Caenorhabditis elegans: one gene and its partner. The protein of the gene in region 2 interacts with the protein of the main gene of each other region in a pairwise test. Each region holds a gene or a part of one and is shown on either strand. Other genes may lie near its edges. The genes, in order: F58B4.5 and aldo-1.

Region 1 (7,819 bases), on a different chromosome or scaffold from region 2:
TTACAGTTACTGTAAAGAGCAGAAAGAAATGACTTTCGAAAGACAATTTTATGGAATTACCGAACAGGTTAGGTTAAAAACAAAATTACCTGAATTAAAAAATCTCAGTATTTAAGTTCAAATTGTTGTGTGAGGATGCAAAACTGGAAAAGTTGGGAACATCGATACAAATGCTCGGAGTTATGTTGGGATGTGTTGTGTTTGGACAAATCGGGGATCAATATGGTAGAAAAACACCAATGATGTTTTGTCTCTGCATGTGTTTCATTTTTGGGATAATGTCAGCGTTGTCAGCTGATTTCAAAAAGTTTACAATTTTTCGAACAATTCTTTGTTTTTTCAATGGTGGACAGAGCACGTAAGACTTGAATTCCGTTGGCTTAATCTCAAATTTGTTTCAGAATCTCAGTTGTGTATATGATAGAAAACATTCCAAAACGCACAAGAGGCTATATTTCTACATTAATTAGTTATTCTCCAAATGTGATTCTCCTGGGAATTCTTGCATTCTTCTTCCAACAATGGGATCGATTGGCTTTAGTTATCTCATTTCTGACAGTTCCAGCAATTATAATGTTGGCGTAAGTTTTCTTCCATGAGTTGAAATTATTTTGAAAAAACAAAGTTTTAACCAAATTTGGTAACTTTTGGTCACATATAAGTTATGGAAAATGTCCAACAGAGAGGTTCACTATTGAGCAAAACCACTTCTGACCGGAATGTGTTTTGTTGTTATTGAATTTGATACTGTATTTTTTCCAACAAAAACTAGACACTACTTCTCTCTAAACCATTTTGAATATACTGTGGAGTTTGAACTTTTCTTATAGATTGCGAACTAGAACTCCTCGAACCATACAAGTTTGTGAGATCACTTGAGTCATTCAAAGTCAAACTGAAACAATTAATAATTGAAAATTTTCCAGTTTTCTCCACGAAAGTCCTCGATGGTTGATGCAAAAAGGACAAATTTCTCATGCTAAAAAGGTGTTTCTCGCCATTGAAAAATTCGATGGAGTTCCTGCAGCAAAATCATTGAATGAAACTGAACTTGAAAACTTTTTGGAAAATGAACATGACAAACAAGTTGCTGATGGAAATACAGAAGTTGGAAAACAACATTCATTTTGGCATCTTTTCAAAACGAAAGAAATCATGACGGGTACTTTTGTCATTGCATTTACATTGTGAGTTTGAAAAATGTTTCTGGGTTTGTGCTCATGTTAATTTCTTAGTTTTGCAACTACATTAATTAATTATTCAATTATGTTCAATCTGGGAGCTGTCGCTGGTTCAATATACATGAACTCTATTCTCATTGGACTTCTACGTTACTCATTCAGCTTGTTCAGTGGACTCTTGGATTACAAATTTGAGAAATTTGACAGAAAAATGTGTCATGGAATTTGTAGCGTGGTTACTATTTCCATAATTGTTGCAATTATTGCATTTTGTTTAACCGATACAACTGCAACATTTTCTGTGCTGATCAGAATAGGAGTATTGTTATCGTGTGCTATGACTTCTCAAGCAATTATTGTTGCAAGTATTGCTTCAAATGAGTTGATGCCAACTGCAATTCGATCAATTTCATATTCAACTGCTCAGCTTTGCTCAAGATTTGGAATTGTTTTTGCTCCCCATGTGTTCCACTTGGTGATTTTTTTTAAATTTCAAACAACTGTAGAATAGATTTAAAATTAAGACCAGAATTCTGAAGAACAACACTAAGTCTGCCTGAAATCTTGAATAAAAATATGACCATCAAAAACTTAAAACCAACGCTTGATTTTCAGAACTTGTACACTGGTATTGACTTTCCAGTTTTGCCATACGCCATACTTTTAGCCATCGGATTGGCTGATTTCATATTTTTCAGAGTAAGTTGAGCGAATTTTCTCTAATTAAAATTTTTTTTTCGTTTCAGTTTTTGATTCCTGAAACAAAAAACAAGCCTCTTGAGGATTTTATTGTCAATAGAACAAAGACTATCGGGAACGATGAAGAGGAAGAAGATCGAGTTTAGATGCATATTATAATTGAAAAAAAAACAATACAAATAAAACTTTTATTAAAACAGTTTGTTTATTGCTGAACTTAGAATTCAAAATATTTTGGGAAGTTTTTAATATTGCTCTCGTGAGTTGTGATAACATCTTCAAGAAGTCCAATCATTTTGTCTAGTGCCACTTGTTTCATCTGAAATTTTTTCTTTCTCAATAAGTACGTAGAAGTAGAACATTTAAACATACAGAGTCTTTGTATTCTTCAGTTACATTTGAATGTTGGAGCATTGGTGCAATTCCAGGAAGAACCATTGTAGTCATTAGTGGGAAGTAAACTTGATAACTATCTTTAAGTTGTTGGAATGTATATGGAACATCCATTCCATCAAGTTCATTTACAAATGTATTGTAGTATTCTTCCAACAAGAAATCTGCCTTTTCTCTTCTATCTTTTGTTGATAAGCATGATGCAAACAATCGGCCAACGTCTTGTGCTGGAGTTGTGATTGAAACTGTCTGAAATTCAAAAATCTGGAAATAAGCTTCTAAAAATCTAAATTAACCTGGAAATCAATAATCGCTTTCAATGTAACTTTTTCTCCATCTCGAGTACACAAAAAGTTTGAGCTCCACAAATCAGAATGGGTGAGAACTGGTTTATAACCAAAGAATTGGCATGTATTTTTGAAATTTTTGATCATTTGCGGTTGGAAATAATAGTCTTTGTAGATTTTCAGCATTTCCTCAACTTTCTCCAAATACTCTTCTGGGAATGACGCTTTAAGCAGTACATTCATTCTTTCAATTGACTTCTCATCCATGAATTGTCCAAAAACAATATCCAAAAAGTCGGCTCCGCGAGCATATTTTGTCTCCTCTTCACTTAATTTCATACCAATCGCAGAAAATGCAGCAATTGCATGAATAACTGGAATCAGATCTTCAGCTGGAATACTTTCATGCATTCCAATATGATGAATATTTGGATAATATTCGGAAATCAAATAAGCCTTCAATTTATTCTCGTCGTCAAATGGCTTTGATGCGTAAACCTAAAGTTTTTCAGGTAAAAATTCAAGTAAAATCAATTTATTCACCTTCGTGAATGGAATCTTTGGATGCTTTTCTCTCATCAAAATCTTGTACGTGGCAACTTCTCTATTATGAAGCAATCTTGTAACTTCTCCCATTCCTTTCAGTTTTGCATCATCCCAAAACTCATCACCGGAAGAAAAATCCATAAGCTTGGTCATTTCAATGAATGGAAGTTGAGATGAAATCTTGACCACAAACTTTTCAGGCAGTTCCTCGTTTTCAGAAGCCCCTACCCACTTTGGTTCGACCAGAGCTATTTTGGACATGAATCCCTAAAATGTGAACGTCGAATATTATAAGTACAAAGTGAATCAAATACCTTCATATCACTGATATTTGTGGCAGTTTTGTCATCTCCAAAAGTGGCAGTTGTATCCAATGCCTTTTGCATTTCTTCCAGCACATCTTCCCAGGTAACATGAGTTCCAAGAAGTCCATCAGCAACAGTATACAACGACATTACAACTGCCTTTTCAAGAAAAAAGATGATGTAAATGCTGATTTAAAAGTTTTAACTGAAAACTACACTGTCTCTGTTGTTTTATAAGCACGTGCATGACCGCCTTATCGCGAGCATTTCATCGATAGGTTGATTGGGTACGCCTTATCTGTTGAGAAATGTTTGATTTTTTAAAAGCCATGCACAAACCATTTTCACAATTCAAACCGTGGTTTGGAACCGAAAAAAATCTGGAATTTTCGGAGAAAGTGCATCTTTAAAACATCCGGGTTGTTTGACTTCATGACGATCACAGCGAGAAAATCGATTTCCAAAACGAAAAAAAAAACCAAATTATGAGATTTCATATCAAAGAACATGCACAAATGCGTTGTCATGTTTATCTTAAATTTCAATTGAAACTTGCACTGATCACACTTCCACTTTGTGACTTATTTCCTACAGGGAATGCTTCAGAAATTAATATTCACCGATTATGAATATTTATCGAAAACTTTATGATTTGAATCGAGATAAAATTCTAAACGAAACAAGTATTTGAGTTTTGAAGTATGAAAAATGGATTTTTTTCAGGTTCTTTGCAGACTTGAACTTCTTCAGGCATTTAGTTTTCTGAAATCTTGAAAATGAAATGCAGATTATTAAACAACCTTGATTTAAAATCACCCCGACTAATAGTAAGATATATCTTGTGTTTTTCCTTTTTCATCTAAAGAACAGGTGATGTCTTTTTGTTTTCTTGGTTCAGTTCACATATCAAGACCGCCAACATCAGTGAGCTCTTGGAATTGGTGTTTGAGCTAACGTATTACAATCCCAATCAGGAACAAATTCTTTAAACGTCCTCAAACCATGTCGCGATTTTGTTAATTTTATATAAAATTGATTGACAAGAAACGAAGAAAAATATCTAACGAAAAAAATCGCCTGGAAGGAAGAAAGCTAAAATAATATAGGATTCAAAACTAATATATTAATAATTCAGTCCCAATCTTTCATTTTTTGTTCCAAATTAATTTAGTTTATGCAGATTCAGTATGGGATGGCAAAGTCAAAACGTTGATCTTTCTGACATCTTGGAAATTCTGTTAACACGTTTCAAATAAGTTTCAAAAAGTTGCCTGGAAGCAAAAGAAAAAATGCAAATGTATGTGGTTCAAAGTTAGCAAAATGTTTCTAAATAAATTTTTTAAAAATGAAATACCTTTGCAATGCTCCAAAAGCTCTTACTCAACATATCTTTTATAAACATTACCAGTTTGATGTATAGTCATGGCTTTCTTACGAGATGCTAATAATGGACTTTTATTGAAAATATATTGACTTCTCTACTCTAGCCAATATTTGCTCTGAAAGTGAAATCAAATTCATGAATCTGTCTATTCACATAAATCAATAGTAAACAGAACACGCTTCTATAAAAGCGAACAAAATTTCTGATAAATCAGAAATGATTACATCCTATATACTACTATTTGCTTCTGTAGTCTGCTTGGTGAGTGAATAGATGACGGTTTTCTCATTTTCTGTCTTGAAAAAATATTTTCAGGGCTTTTGTGCTTTGGACGACCAACTTTTGACGGAAGAAGGAAGTGGATTTGAGCCACCGCCGATTGTCAATATAACTGTGGAGTTGGTATCAAATAGATCTTTTGATCCGGAAAAGAATGCTTCCAATTTGAAAATTGTGAAAGATGCTGTGAGTATCCGCTTTGGGCCACGAACAAAAATTATCATTTTCAGGTTGATGATTATTCCAAAAAGGAGAATATTAGGTACCCATCTGACAATATCAAACAATCAATTATTGATCACGGAGGAAAGTTTGCAGTTCTTTTTGAGATCCGTGATGACGCAAGATGTGATGAAGTTCGCCGTTTTGTTAAAGGAGCAAAGAAGCACTCAAATGAACTTTCATATGCTGTTCTGAAATGTGATGGAGAAAAGACTCAAATTCTCTGATTTCTGTTTTCTTTTTCGAATTTATTAATTGGACTTTACATTGGAATAAATTATGTTCAGAGAAGCATTACAAACGGGATGATTATAAAAACATATGTCTATCACTGGATAAAAATTTGATGGCAAAATATGAGATTTTTTGAGAAGACTTGGGAACGGTACGATTATGAGGAATTGGACAAAAAAATGAAAAAGAAAACATTAACGATCTCCCTAGACAATGCGACTTTATGTCATGATTTTCATTAGAGAGATGAAGCCGAGAGTTATTCCAACAGCTGACACAATTCCAGTTTTCGGGGAAGAGTTACATCTGAAAATGTATTGGAATTATTATTCGGTCAATCCACATAGTTTTATTCATTATTACCCATCTCCGTAGCAGCAGCAAGTGGCCCCATTGACTCCGAAAGCTGAAGAGTTCTGGCAGTTGGCTGCGGCATTTTGCATTCCGTTCAACTGAAAAATAGACTTTCGTATCATTTCAACTATACATCTAATATTAGTTTGCCAGATATTCCCACGACTTCTAGCTTTCGCTAATGAGAATAGCTCTCGCGCATACATATATTCCCTACGGTGAGAGCAAGATCATGTGATACTTGTTGTCAGTGCCAGCAGGTGAGAAGCTAGAACTTCGCGTTAAACGCAGCTATGGTAACCATGGGAAACTGACGGAATGTTTGATTTCTAATTTTTTTATCACTCACTGTGCAGTTCATGGTTTGGCATTGCTTGGTATAGGTTCCCCGGGTGAAGTCGACAACTTTGACGCATGTCAATGATCCGATACCACACTCCTGAAATTGGAAAAATATCTATTTTTAAATATGAAAAAAATAAGTTTTATACCTGACGCTGGGAGGTATCTGGAACGGAGAGGTTTCCAGCTGGAACTACATGGCACTGTAGAGCAAATGCAGTGTAAACGGCAATGGCAAGGGTGATGAAGATTGGGCGAAGCATTCTGAAGATAAAAAAAATATTTCTGGTTGAAAGTGAAAAGGTGAGAAGCCCTTCAAGTGGCTGAGAGAATGAATATCAGAAAGAGAGGCTCAATCGGAGATAGGATATGGGCGGACACTTTGTTTCCAATTTGCTGTGTGACACCGAAATTTCCGGTGTGAGTGTGTGCGCACAAAGTGTGAAAGCTCACGATGGACGATGGGCCCTCTTTCTCTCTCAATTTACAATCATATGATAAGGCATGGGCAAAGTGAGCTCGAGTGGCAGCTCGCCGTAACAATGGCAACCGATGCGAAACAAGAGACAGGTGGAATCGAAAAAAGTTGGAGAAAAGAAGAGAAAATAGAGTTAAATGAGAAAATGGAAAAAGAGGAGGAGACGCTGTGCTGTTGTACTCTGTTCTCTTCATCACTGTAGTGTCTACTGCCACTGAGCTTACTTGTTAGCTGATAGTGGGCGGAGCCAAGTAGAGAAAAAATGAGCAAAGGGAGGAGCTGAAGAGCTACTTTTGGGACTTTTATGACAATGTATCACATGATAAAAACAGTTGTATAGTGTTTCGTAAGAAAAAAAAACGAAATCTATATAGGGGTAAATTAGAAAATGCAGGAAAAAAGAGCCGGCGCAACTTTACAAGTTGATTGGATATTTTTTGATTTCGGGCAATGGCTAATACGAATATGGATATGCCAGACGTGTTTTCTTCAAATCGTTGGTGGTTAATGATATAAGTGAAGCCCTAGAAGGATCAGGTGGTATGTGCATGCAAAAAACTGGATGACCAACTGGAATTCAACCAACTGAGCTATTAAACGATAATTCTCAAAACAAGAAGTTAATAATTTCTTTAAATTTGGTTTTACTTGCCACCTAATTCAATATTGAGTTATTACATGCCAACATAACTAAATAATTTGGTTTGATATATTAAATTGGAGATTTCATACAGACCATTTATATTGAAAACAAGTACTTTAAACCATGTTTGATGTCATCTTGTTGTGTTTGTTTCCCTGTTCGTCTAGTCAACAATTTTTCCGGTTTTCGAAATCACGCAGGTGTTTTTAGTGTTGTTCTTTTGGGAGTTCAATTTAATTGAACACTTTCAGGTATTCACTGGAAAACAAACGTAATAAAAAAGAATTTAGAAAAAAATGTAAAAACAGAAGAGAAAAAACATCAAAATACTTTTTATTTCTTTGGAGAAATCAATTTTTCTTGGAACAATTGAAAAGTTACTATTATGTAAATATATAAAGAAATTCAAAATGGGAAAATAACATTGCGAACGGTTTTCCGTCGCGATAAGTTTATTCTATCCACTGAAAAA
Region 2 (8,140 bases):
CAATCGTTTTCCAGAAAATTCTAAGAAATTTAAGGGTGGAGTACCGAAAATTAATCGATTTTAATAGAAAAATTTAATGAAATTCAGAAAACTCGACAAGAACTCTGTTTTCTTTGCACTCTTGACAACAATGTTTAAGAAAACACAAAAACTTCGCGGCCTAATTTCAATAAAAACACAAGAAACAAGTGTCTCCATTTTCTTTTTCGACTGTGTCATGGCAAAATTCATTTTTCTCTCTAAAGTCATGTCGCCGATCATGTTCAAGGTTTTTCGGTTTAAATGACATCATTTTTAATTGAAAGTGTAGCTTTCTGTGGAAAAAAGTACATAATTGACTCATTTTTCAAAAAAATATATTTAAAAAAAAACTAAAATATGAGGTAGAAAATGAGGAAGCCGTGCGCAACGCGGGGAGAAAATAGCGAAAGTATTCGGAATCGGGTCATGATTCGGAAGAGAGAATATCCCAAGGATTTTCTCTGTTTTCTCTACGTTTCGTGGCTATATTCTCTCGATTTTACGGTTTTTGCCGGCCTATTTACTGTAATACTTCGGATTTAGCACGGAATTCTCTAATATCTGAATAAAATTGGGGCTTTTCTTGGAAATTTTACAAAAATTACGGCAAACATTTAAAAGTTAACAAGTTAAACTCAGAATGACTTGTTAAATCATCAATAATGCCTCGAAAACAAATTCTCAAGTTCGACAAAGAGGAAAACTACTCGGAAATGCAGATGCTATCTATTTTAAACAGCAAAACGGTTATAAAACAACGAAAAGTACATATTTTCACAATAAAATAGAGAAATCATAGAAAAATGAATGAAAATCGAAGAAAATGGAGAAACAAAGCCTGAAAAGGTTTAAAAAAATAAATGTCTTGCTCGCAAATAAAGTTCGCGACGAGACCTGATTTGTAACTTTGAGCGATGCGCCTTTAAAGTGTACTGTAGTCATTAATGTTATGAAATGCAATACAATTGGTATTATTTATTTTGAAAGTGATATAGAATTAAAATTTTTAATTAATTAAAAAAAATACCAATTGAACTTAAAAGACCCTAGAAAATTTTAAAAAACCCGCTAAAATGCTTTCGTGAAAAAACCTGTGCTGAAATAGAGAATACAGAAATTTTTTGATCGTGTCGAGACCTGATACCGTATTAAACGAATTTTTAGTCAGAAATTGAAAAAAAAACGCTTCACGTTGCAAGAGTAGGTGAACATGTTTATTGTAATAAAAGGATATTCAGAATTTACACTTTTTGGCATATGTGAATTGAAATAGTAAACTTTAAGAAGAGTGTTATATCACGAAAATTAAAAAGAGAAACATACATAGCTTGTTTTTCGGAAAGCATAAATACAATGAAAAAAATATCTACTATTCGCCAAAAAAATATTTAAAATTTTATCTCATTATGAGCTTTTTCAGTCCATTTTTCTCCAAGATGTAGAAACAGACTCTCTTTTCATTATCCCGCGTCAGAATAACGTTACCCTTCGCATCAATCACATGAGGTAACTTGCTAAGAACCGCCTTAGGGGACTTGATCGGAGTCATCAAAGAAGTCAAATTCTCATTTGTTTCCATTTTCATCCAACTCAAAATGAACGTGCTTAGCTCCTCGTCAGTGAAATCAGTGTCGTTTGCGATGATATCAGTGCACTCCAGCTTCATAAGTTGCTTGATGCTAATCCATTTTGTTTGAGAGCTCAAGAAGTACTTGGCGCGGACTGGGATGTCGTAAGGAAATATTTCAGCGGTATCCAAGTGGAACTCGACGCTATCGGTGATATTGACAGTTTGGAGTAAATAGAGCAAATCTTCATTTACCACATTGCTCCCGAAAATGTTAACGTCTGGAATGTCCTTTCTAATTTTGGCAAGCCAATCGATGATTTCTCGGTTTTGCTGGGGAAAGGCGTCCAGTGAGAAGTTGATCGTATGAATTGGAAAGTCTAGTACATTAGTTACGTTCTCCGTCCACTTCTTTAGTCCTTCAATCTTATCTTCTGAATACATACGCGTAGTGTAAACCTTGAGAAATTCAATGACTCGCATCTCTCCAGGAGTTGGCGGAGCATTCACGGTAGATTGGATCTGGTACTCCCAACAACGGTCTAGACCCTTCACACGAACACGTGGCTCAGAACAGATATCGACTGCGATTTCATAGCATTGACAGTGGTTATTCTTTGTGTATGAATGGGCGGAAGTTAGGTGCTCCGGGGATTTTAAGGCATAGTCCATCCTGGAAATGTTTATATTGGTTTTGTTTGATTTATTCGTTTGACTTTTAAAAATCTCGGTTAGTCGATTTCTGAAGATCAAACAACTTGGAAAACAAAAACAATCCAACGACAGGGTGTAACACATTTACTATTGGAAATTTAGAAAATTTAGTTTTAAAAACACTTACATTTCAAAAGGGTTCTTGGCAGCCAAGGTATCCTTTTCAGTTGGCGGACCATAGTACTTGGTATAGAAGATCTCAGATCCTCTCACTTCGCGGTAGTACATTGCAATGGACAAATGAATGGCTGTAATGCGTTGCGAATAGTGTGCAACTGGTTAGATATCGATCTGAAAATGTGCATCGCACCTGCCCAAGGTTAAACGGCTCCACTGGGAAATTGTTCTCTCGCACTTACACTAGGCACCTTCTGTTCTCAACAATTGAGCAGACACATAAACCTACAAGGAATAGTGAGTAGTAGAAGACATCTTGACGTCATCACTATGAATGCATCGCGACGAGCCATCGCTCAATTGTCTGTCTGCTTGAATCAAATGTTCCAAAGATACATCTCTCTTTAATTGTGCATTCGTATCTACCAAAGATTTATTAAATCCGAAGAGACTTAGAGAAGCAAATAATGACAATTAAAGGGGTATACAGACACATAATTCTACGTGCGTTGAATAGTTTTAAAAAATGAGAAAAAAGAGATCCTGAGCGTGGCCATTTAATAAGAATGATTGGCGACGAAGAGGGATTGGGAAGCGGCTGCGTCAGCTGAAGCATCCCCGGTGTATTTTCCGACAGAGGCAAGGGAGTTGACCTGAGCACGATGGAGCAGGACTTCTTGGGCGGCTGCGATGTTCTCGTCCTTTCCGGCCCACTTGGCGAGACAGGAGGCTTGAAGAGCACGTCCATAGGAGAATGTGAGGGCCCATGGCTTCTTTCCGCTCACTTGATTGATGGCGTTCAAGTTCAATGTGGCATCCTCTTCGGATTGTCCACCGGAGAGGAAGACGACTCCTGGAACGGCGGATGGGACTCCGCGTTGGAGGGCGGTGACGGTGGCGAGTCCGATATCGGCATTCGATGGCTTCTCGCCGGTGAATGATTGTCCGGAGGTGACCATGTTTGGCTTGAGGAGGGTTCCCTCGAGGAAGACGTGATGCTCGTTGAGAGCGTGGTACACATATGAGAGCACGGTCTCGGTGATCTTCTGTCCGCGAGCCAAGCAGTGTTCACCGTCTGGGAGGATCTGAAATGATAACTAATTAGAGTGCCAATTATATTTTTTTTACAAAAAAAAAACTGCTGCGAGACCCAAGTAACGGACGTGGCATTAACTTGGGTTTTGCATCGAATATTAAAATTTTCTGTGAAAACCGTTCTAAGTATTACATTCAAGCCGATCTACGACTACATCCCCCCAAAAGGAACTTAGGTGGGTAGGTACCAGTGCTGTGCGACTCTCGGCTCTCGACTCTCGGTAATTACCTCTGGCTCAACAATTGGTACAAGTCCATTTTGTTGGCAAATTGAAGCATAGCGAGCCAAGTTGGAGGCAATTTCCTTAAGAGCAGTCACTGATGGAGTCGTAGATGAGATCTTGTGCACGCATCTCCACTTGGCGAACTGTGCTCCGTCTTTCTTGTATTGAGCGCAACGAGCATTCAAGTCATCCAATCCCTGAGTGGTTCCCTCTCCGATGGTTCCGGCCATTGGGACGACACCCTTGTCAACCTTGATTCCTGGAATGATTCCTTGCTCCTGGAGAAGAGCAGTGAATGGCTTTCCGTCGTCGGTCTTTTGGTAGAATGTCTCGTGGAACATGATGACTCCCGAGATGTACTTGTTGAGGTCGGCTCCGGCGGTAAACAGAAGTTGACGATACTTGCGGCGGTTCTCCTCGGTGTTCTCGAGTCCGATGCTGTTAAGACGCTTGTCCATGGATCCGGTGGACTCATCGGCGGCTGCAAATTCGAATTTCAGGGAGATTGGAGAGATTAGAGATTAGATTTGTAACACACAAAATGCCAAATTTTGTTTCCCAAATTTAATATCGTTACTTACCGAGAATTCCCTTTCCTGGGGTGACGATGGCGTTGGCGATGGAGCGGAGTTCGTCCTCCTGGGCCTTGGTCAAGAATTGCGAGTAAGAAGCCATTTTAGAAAATGAAGTTGCCTGAAAATGTGCAAGAGTGAAGTCGGTGAAAAACAAGGGCCGCTGATAAAAGTGAAAAGAGCCGGAGCTTTCTCTCTCGCGCCAAACGAATCGATGGCACCGCCGAGAAGGGAGACGGAGAGCCCCTGGCGAGAGAGCAAGAGTGTGTGAGAAGCCGTGCAGAGTGGCGAGAGGGAATTGAGGGGCCCTACGTGATTTGCACGAAATTTTGTGAGAAGTAAAAGAAGAAGAACTGCTGTTGGAGCAGAACGTGAGAAATAGTTTGAAGAAGCGAGAGGAGCAGGAATTGCCAAAGTCTTGAACTTTTCAACGTTGGAGGATTTGATTTGATTTGGTTCACGGAAGCGTGCGGAGATATGAAGATATGAAAGTTGAAATTGCTTTTCAGACATATGCCTCTGGCGTACTTAGAGCAGCCGGGCTATGAGCTCGAGCCTAGTTTAGGACTCATTGGAGTAGTCTGAAATTGAAATAATGTAAAAGAGATTACGAAATTTGGAATGATGCAATCGTTTTTCAGAGGAATCGACCCTACTTGGCACATTTTGTTTTTTTTTTTTAATTCGAAAATGAGCCAACTTGCCCCTACGATAAAAACACAATTTACCTAGTTTTCCAATATTATAGGGTTTAGACCACATAGTTATATTTAAAAAAAAACTAGAGTAAACTGCATTTTCGTTTGCCATATTCCGTAACTCGCTCTGTATTAATTATCAAAATAACTCAATTTTGTGTCATTTTACTCAATTTTTGGGGACAAAACCAATGGTTTTGGTCAAAGTTGTAATGTCAAAACTTTGGCATGTGCGGCAAATATCGAAATTTGCAGAGCTCGGAAAATTTAACAAATCTACTTTTTTGAAATTTGTCTTGCTCGGCAAATTCAGCAAAGTTACCGAGCTCAGCAAACGGCAAATTTGGCAAATTTGCCGTATACCCCTGCTCTGTTTATTCCCTGGGCATTCTCGTAAGACCTATAAGGCTACTATAAGTACGAGAACATGCGAGGCACGTACTAATAAAACAATTCAAAATCTACGACAAATCATGACAAAAAAAAACAAGAAGAGGATCTTATGTAAAACAAGCAATACATCTATGTATTCATTTTTGTAAATAAAATGAGCTTCTATGTCAAAACTATAACATGGGTACAACAAAAAAGACAGCGAATAGAAAACGACGTGATGTGAAAAAGATATTTTGAGAATGGCTATGTGCTTTTTTGCGTGAGATGGCAATATGGAGGAGGCATGATGCAATTGTGCGAATAGTGAGAGTTTAGAGAAAACGTAGAAGGGTTATGAAATTGTTTTTTTTTCTTCATGGACCCAGAATTTGAATGTGCACAAAGAAAACTTAACCATTGGAAATTTAGGTAGAATGCCTTGCAAAATCTATAAAAGCAACATCTTATCACGACTAACATATATATTCTTCTAATTTTCAGAGTTTGAATCAGAGGGGATCCGGAAATTTCAATTTCGGCAATTTGCCGGAAAAAATGGTTTTTGTCAAAATCTTTGAAAAAAAAATATTGGGAACTTAAAAAAAAAAGATGTTTGAAAAATGCGGGAAAACCGTAGCTCGGAATTGAGAAAAAGTTGTTACTGGCAAGTTTTAGAAGCTTTTGGAATGTAAAAAGTTTTAAAATTTTAACCAAGCGTATTCTCAATTAGCTGAAAATTTAAGCAATTCCAAAAAAAAAGCAACAAACTGTTTTGAAAAACTCGATTATCGAAAAGCTCTTCCTGTATATAGATAGATGAGAAGTGTAAGACGAACATAGAAAAAAGTATTTTCTCTAGGTAATGCTCTATCTGGCCATTTCCCACGTGAAATGCTCATGTCTGTCAAATGTTGACCCATAGTTGACAGTTGTTCTTTGTCTAAATGAATGTGGCCAATATTTTTGAGTTTAGAGTAAAATAAAAATGAAGAAATAGTTTTATTTTTTGAAAGAATTGGAGAAAAAGTGAAAAAGGGGAAGAGCGGAGAAAGTTGAGCAAACGTTCAAAACGCGGTTCTCTCGACTCGATTGCTGCCACTGGGATTTCGATTGTTGTCAAGTAAAAGTAAGGAATTCGTAGAACCGATTGACGAGGCAGAGAGTGTGGAGATTGGAGAGACGCAGAATACAAAGACAATCAATTGAAGGACCAATACGAGTAGTGACACCACTGCACACCCGTTTAAGAGGACTATTCTGCAAGGTTTTTTATTGGTTTAATTTTGAAGAACTGAGTTTTCTTAACTTTGGACAAGAGATTTTAAAATTGAAAACCAGAAAAGACGGTTTAAAATTTGACTTTTGCACCAATTTATTTTTGAATTATTTCAATTTGAATTTAGCGCAAAATTTTTTTAAACTGAAATTTGTAGCGATAAAGTTTTGGAAAACTTAGAATTTAAATTTTATGTCTAGTATTTTTTTGTTGAAAATTTAAATGTCCAATTTTATGCCTTTGCATCATCTTTTCTGAAATATTAAAATTTTAATTTTGCACTGATTTTCATGATTCTTCTCTAAAGTTAAAAAGTTTCACTTTTGCGCCAAACGTTCTTAAAAATAATTTTTAAAAATTAAATTCTAAACATTTTCGGATTTTTTTATTTGCTGCTGGAATGATTTAAACAGTGCATTTTAGAAGTCCCTTCAAAATTTCCCGAAATGCTAGAAATTCTAGTAAAAAAATTGAGTTCCCAAAACTCACCCAATTTCAATAGTAGATCCGGCAGTTTCAAAACTTTTCAATTCGTTAAAAATTGCAGAGATCCGTTCAGAAGTGAATAGTTCACTAGATATTGATAATATGCATATTCTGAAAATAAATTGTAGAAATTATAAAAATTTCAACAAAAATCTGGGTAAAATTTAATTAACTGAATAAAATTTTAAACAGAAAAAAACGAACGTACCCTTGGCCAATTATAGCAGCGAGCATCATTTGTGAGCAGTTTTGTGTCGCAACGATTAAAGAGAAAATTGCAACAATTACCACAAATACGAACACGATTGATTCTTTTAAACCATATGCATACATTGTTGAGGAATCAGATCTGAAACATTTAAATGTTGACAATAGTTTTCGTGTGTGTGTGCAAATTGTATCAATCAACCAAATAAGAATACCACGTGGTTAAAAGTGGAGTATCGCCATTGGGGATTTTGTCTAAATACACTTACAATCCAAAACGACCGTATATCATAATAAAACAATCCAAAAAATTTCCAAAATTATGAGTGGCAAACCTGAGTAATTGTCACTTTTTGACCGTAAATAAAAAATTTTGAAATTTTTTTTTGAAAAGTTATATTATGATATTCGGTCAATTTGTCACCATATGAGTTCAAACACTTTCCTCACAGGCGCTACTCTATGAAATTTACCCTCAAAAACACCAACAAAGCACTCACAAACTTCTTGTTCCAGTCAAATTGGTTTGTGCCATGAAAACTCCAATAACCGTGGTTGAAAGTGAAAACAGCACTGTCCCAAGGGAAACTGATATTGCTGTTAGTGACTTTTGAATCGTTTTTCTCATTAGATAAATGTTAAAAACCGTAACAACCAATGTGATAGCGGATAAAACAACTGTCGCAAAATAGATAAAACATCCAACTATCAGATTAATCACAAATTTTTCATCGGTGGCTTCTGGTTGCAAAACGTGCTCCATTGCGACTTTGTAGAAAAAGTCGTAG

What was found.
Region 1: the proteins of aldo-1 (region 2) and F58B4.5 interact in a two-hybrid assay, tested with the Caenorhabditis elegans proteins (one large-scale study listed by BioGRID).

The regions. Positions count from the first base shown.
Region 1 is NC_003283.11:10,928,482-10,936,300, reverse strand, and holds F58B4.5 (CHK kinase-like domain-containing protein), read right to left. Parts: upstream 3,609-7,819; 5' UTR 3,562-3,608; coding exon 3,421-3,561; intron 3,374-3,420; coding exon 3,104-3,373; intron 3,059-3,103; coding exon 2,570-3,058; intron 2,523-2,569; coding exon 2,253-2,522; intron 2,200-2,252; coding exon 2,098-2,199; 3' UTR 2,056-2,097; downstream 1-2,055. Other genes in the region: F17C11.12 (Major facilitator superfamily (MFS) profile domain-containing protein), read left to right, coding at 1-67, 117-358, 402-581, 927-1,187, 1,236-1,656, 1,797-1,880, 1,928-2,026; scvp-1 (Secreted nematode Clade V Protein gene family), read left to right, coding at 5,012-5,056, 5,111-5,260, 5,305-5,523; nssp-63 (UPAR/Ly6 domain-containing protein), read right to left, coding at 5,752-5,836, 5,894-5,982, 6,234-6,323, 6,376-6,489.
Region 2 is NC_003281.10:13,560,507-13,568,646, forward strand, and holds aldo-1 (Fructose-bisphosphate aldolase 1), read right to left. Parts: upstream 4,432-8,140; 5' UTR 4,414-4,431; coding exon 4,320-4,413; intron 4,220-4,319; coding exon 3,744-4,219; intron 3,505-3,743; coding exon 2,977-3,504; 3' UTR 2,840-2,976; downstream 1-2,839. Other genes in the region: T05D4.2 (F-box associated domain-containing protein), read right to left, coding at 1,418-2,261, 2,430-2,530; exc-12 (Protein PNS1), read right to left, coding at 6,448-6,640, 7,149-7,256, 7,354-7,494, 7,853-8,140. UniProt on the Caenorhabditis elegans protein: May be involved in the metabolism of fructose-bisphosphate (beta-D-fructose 1,6-bisphosphate) and of fructose 1-phosphate.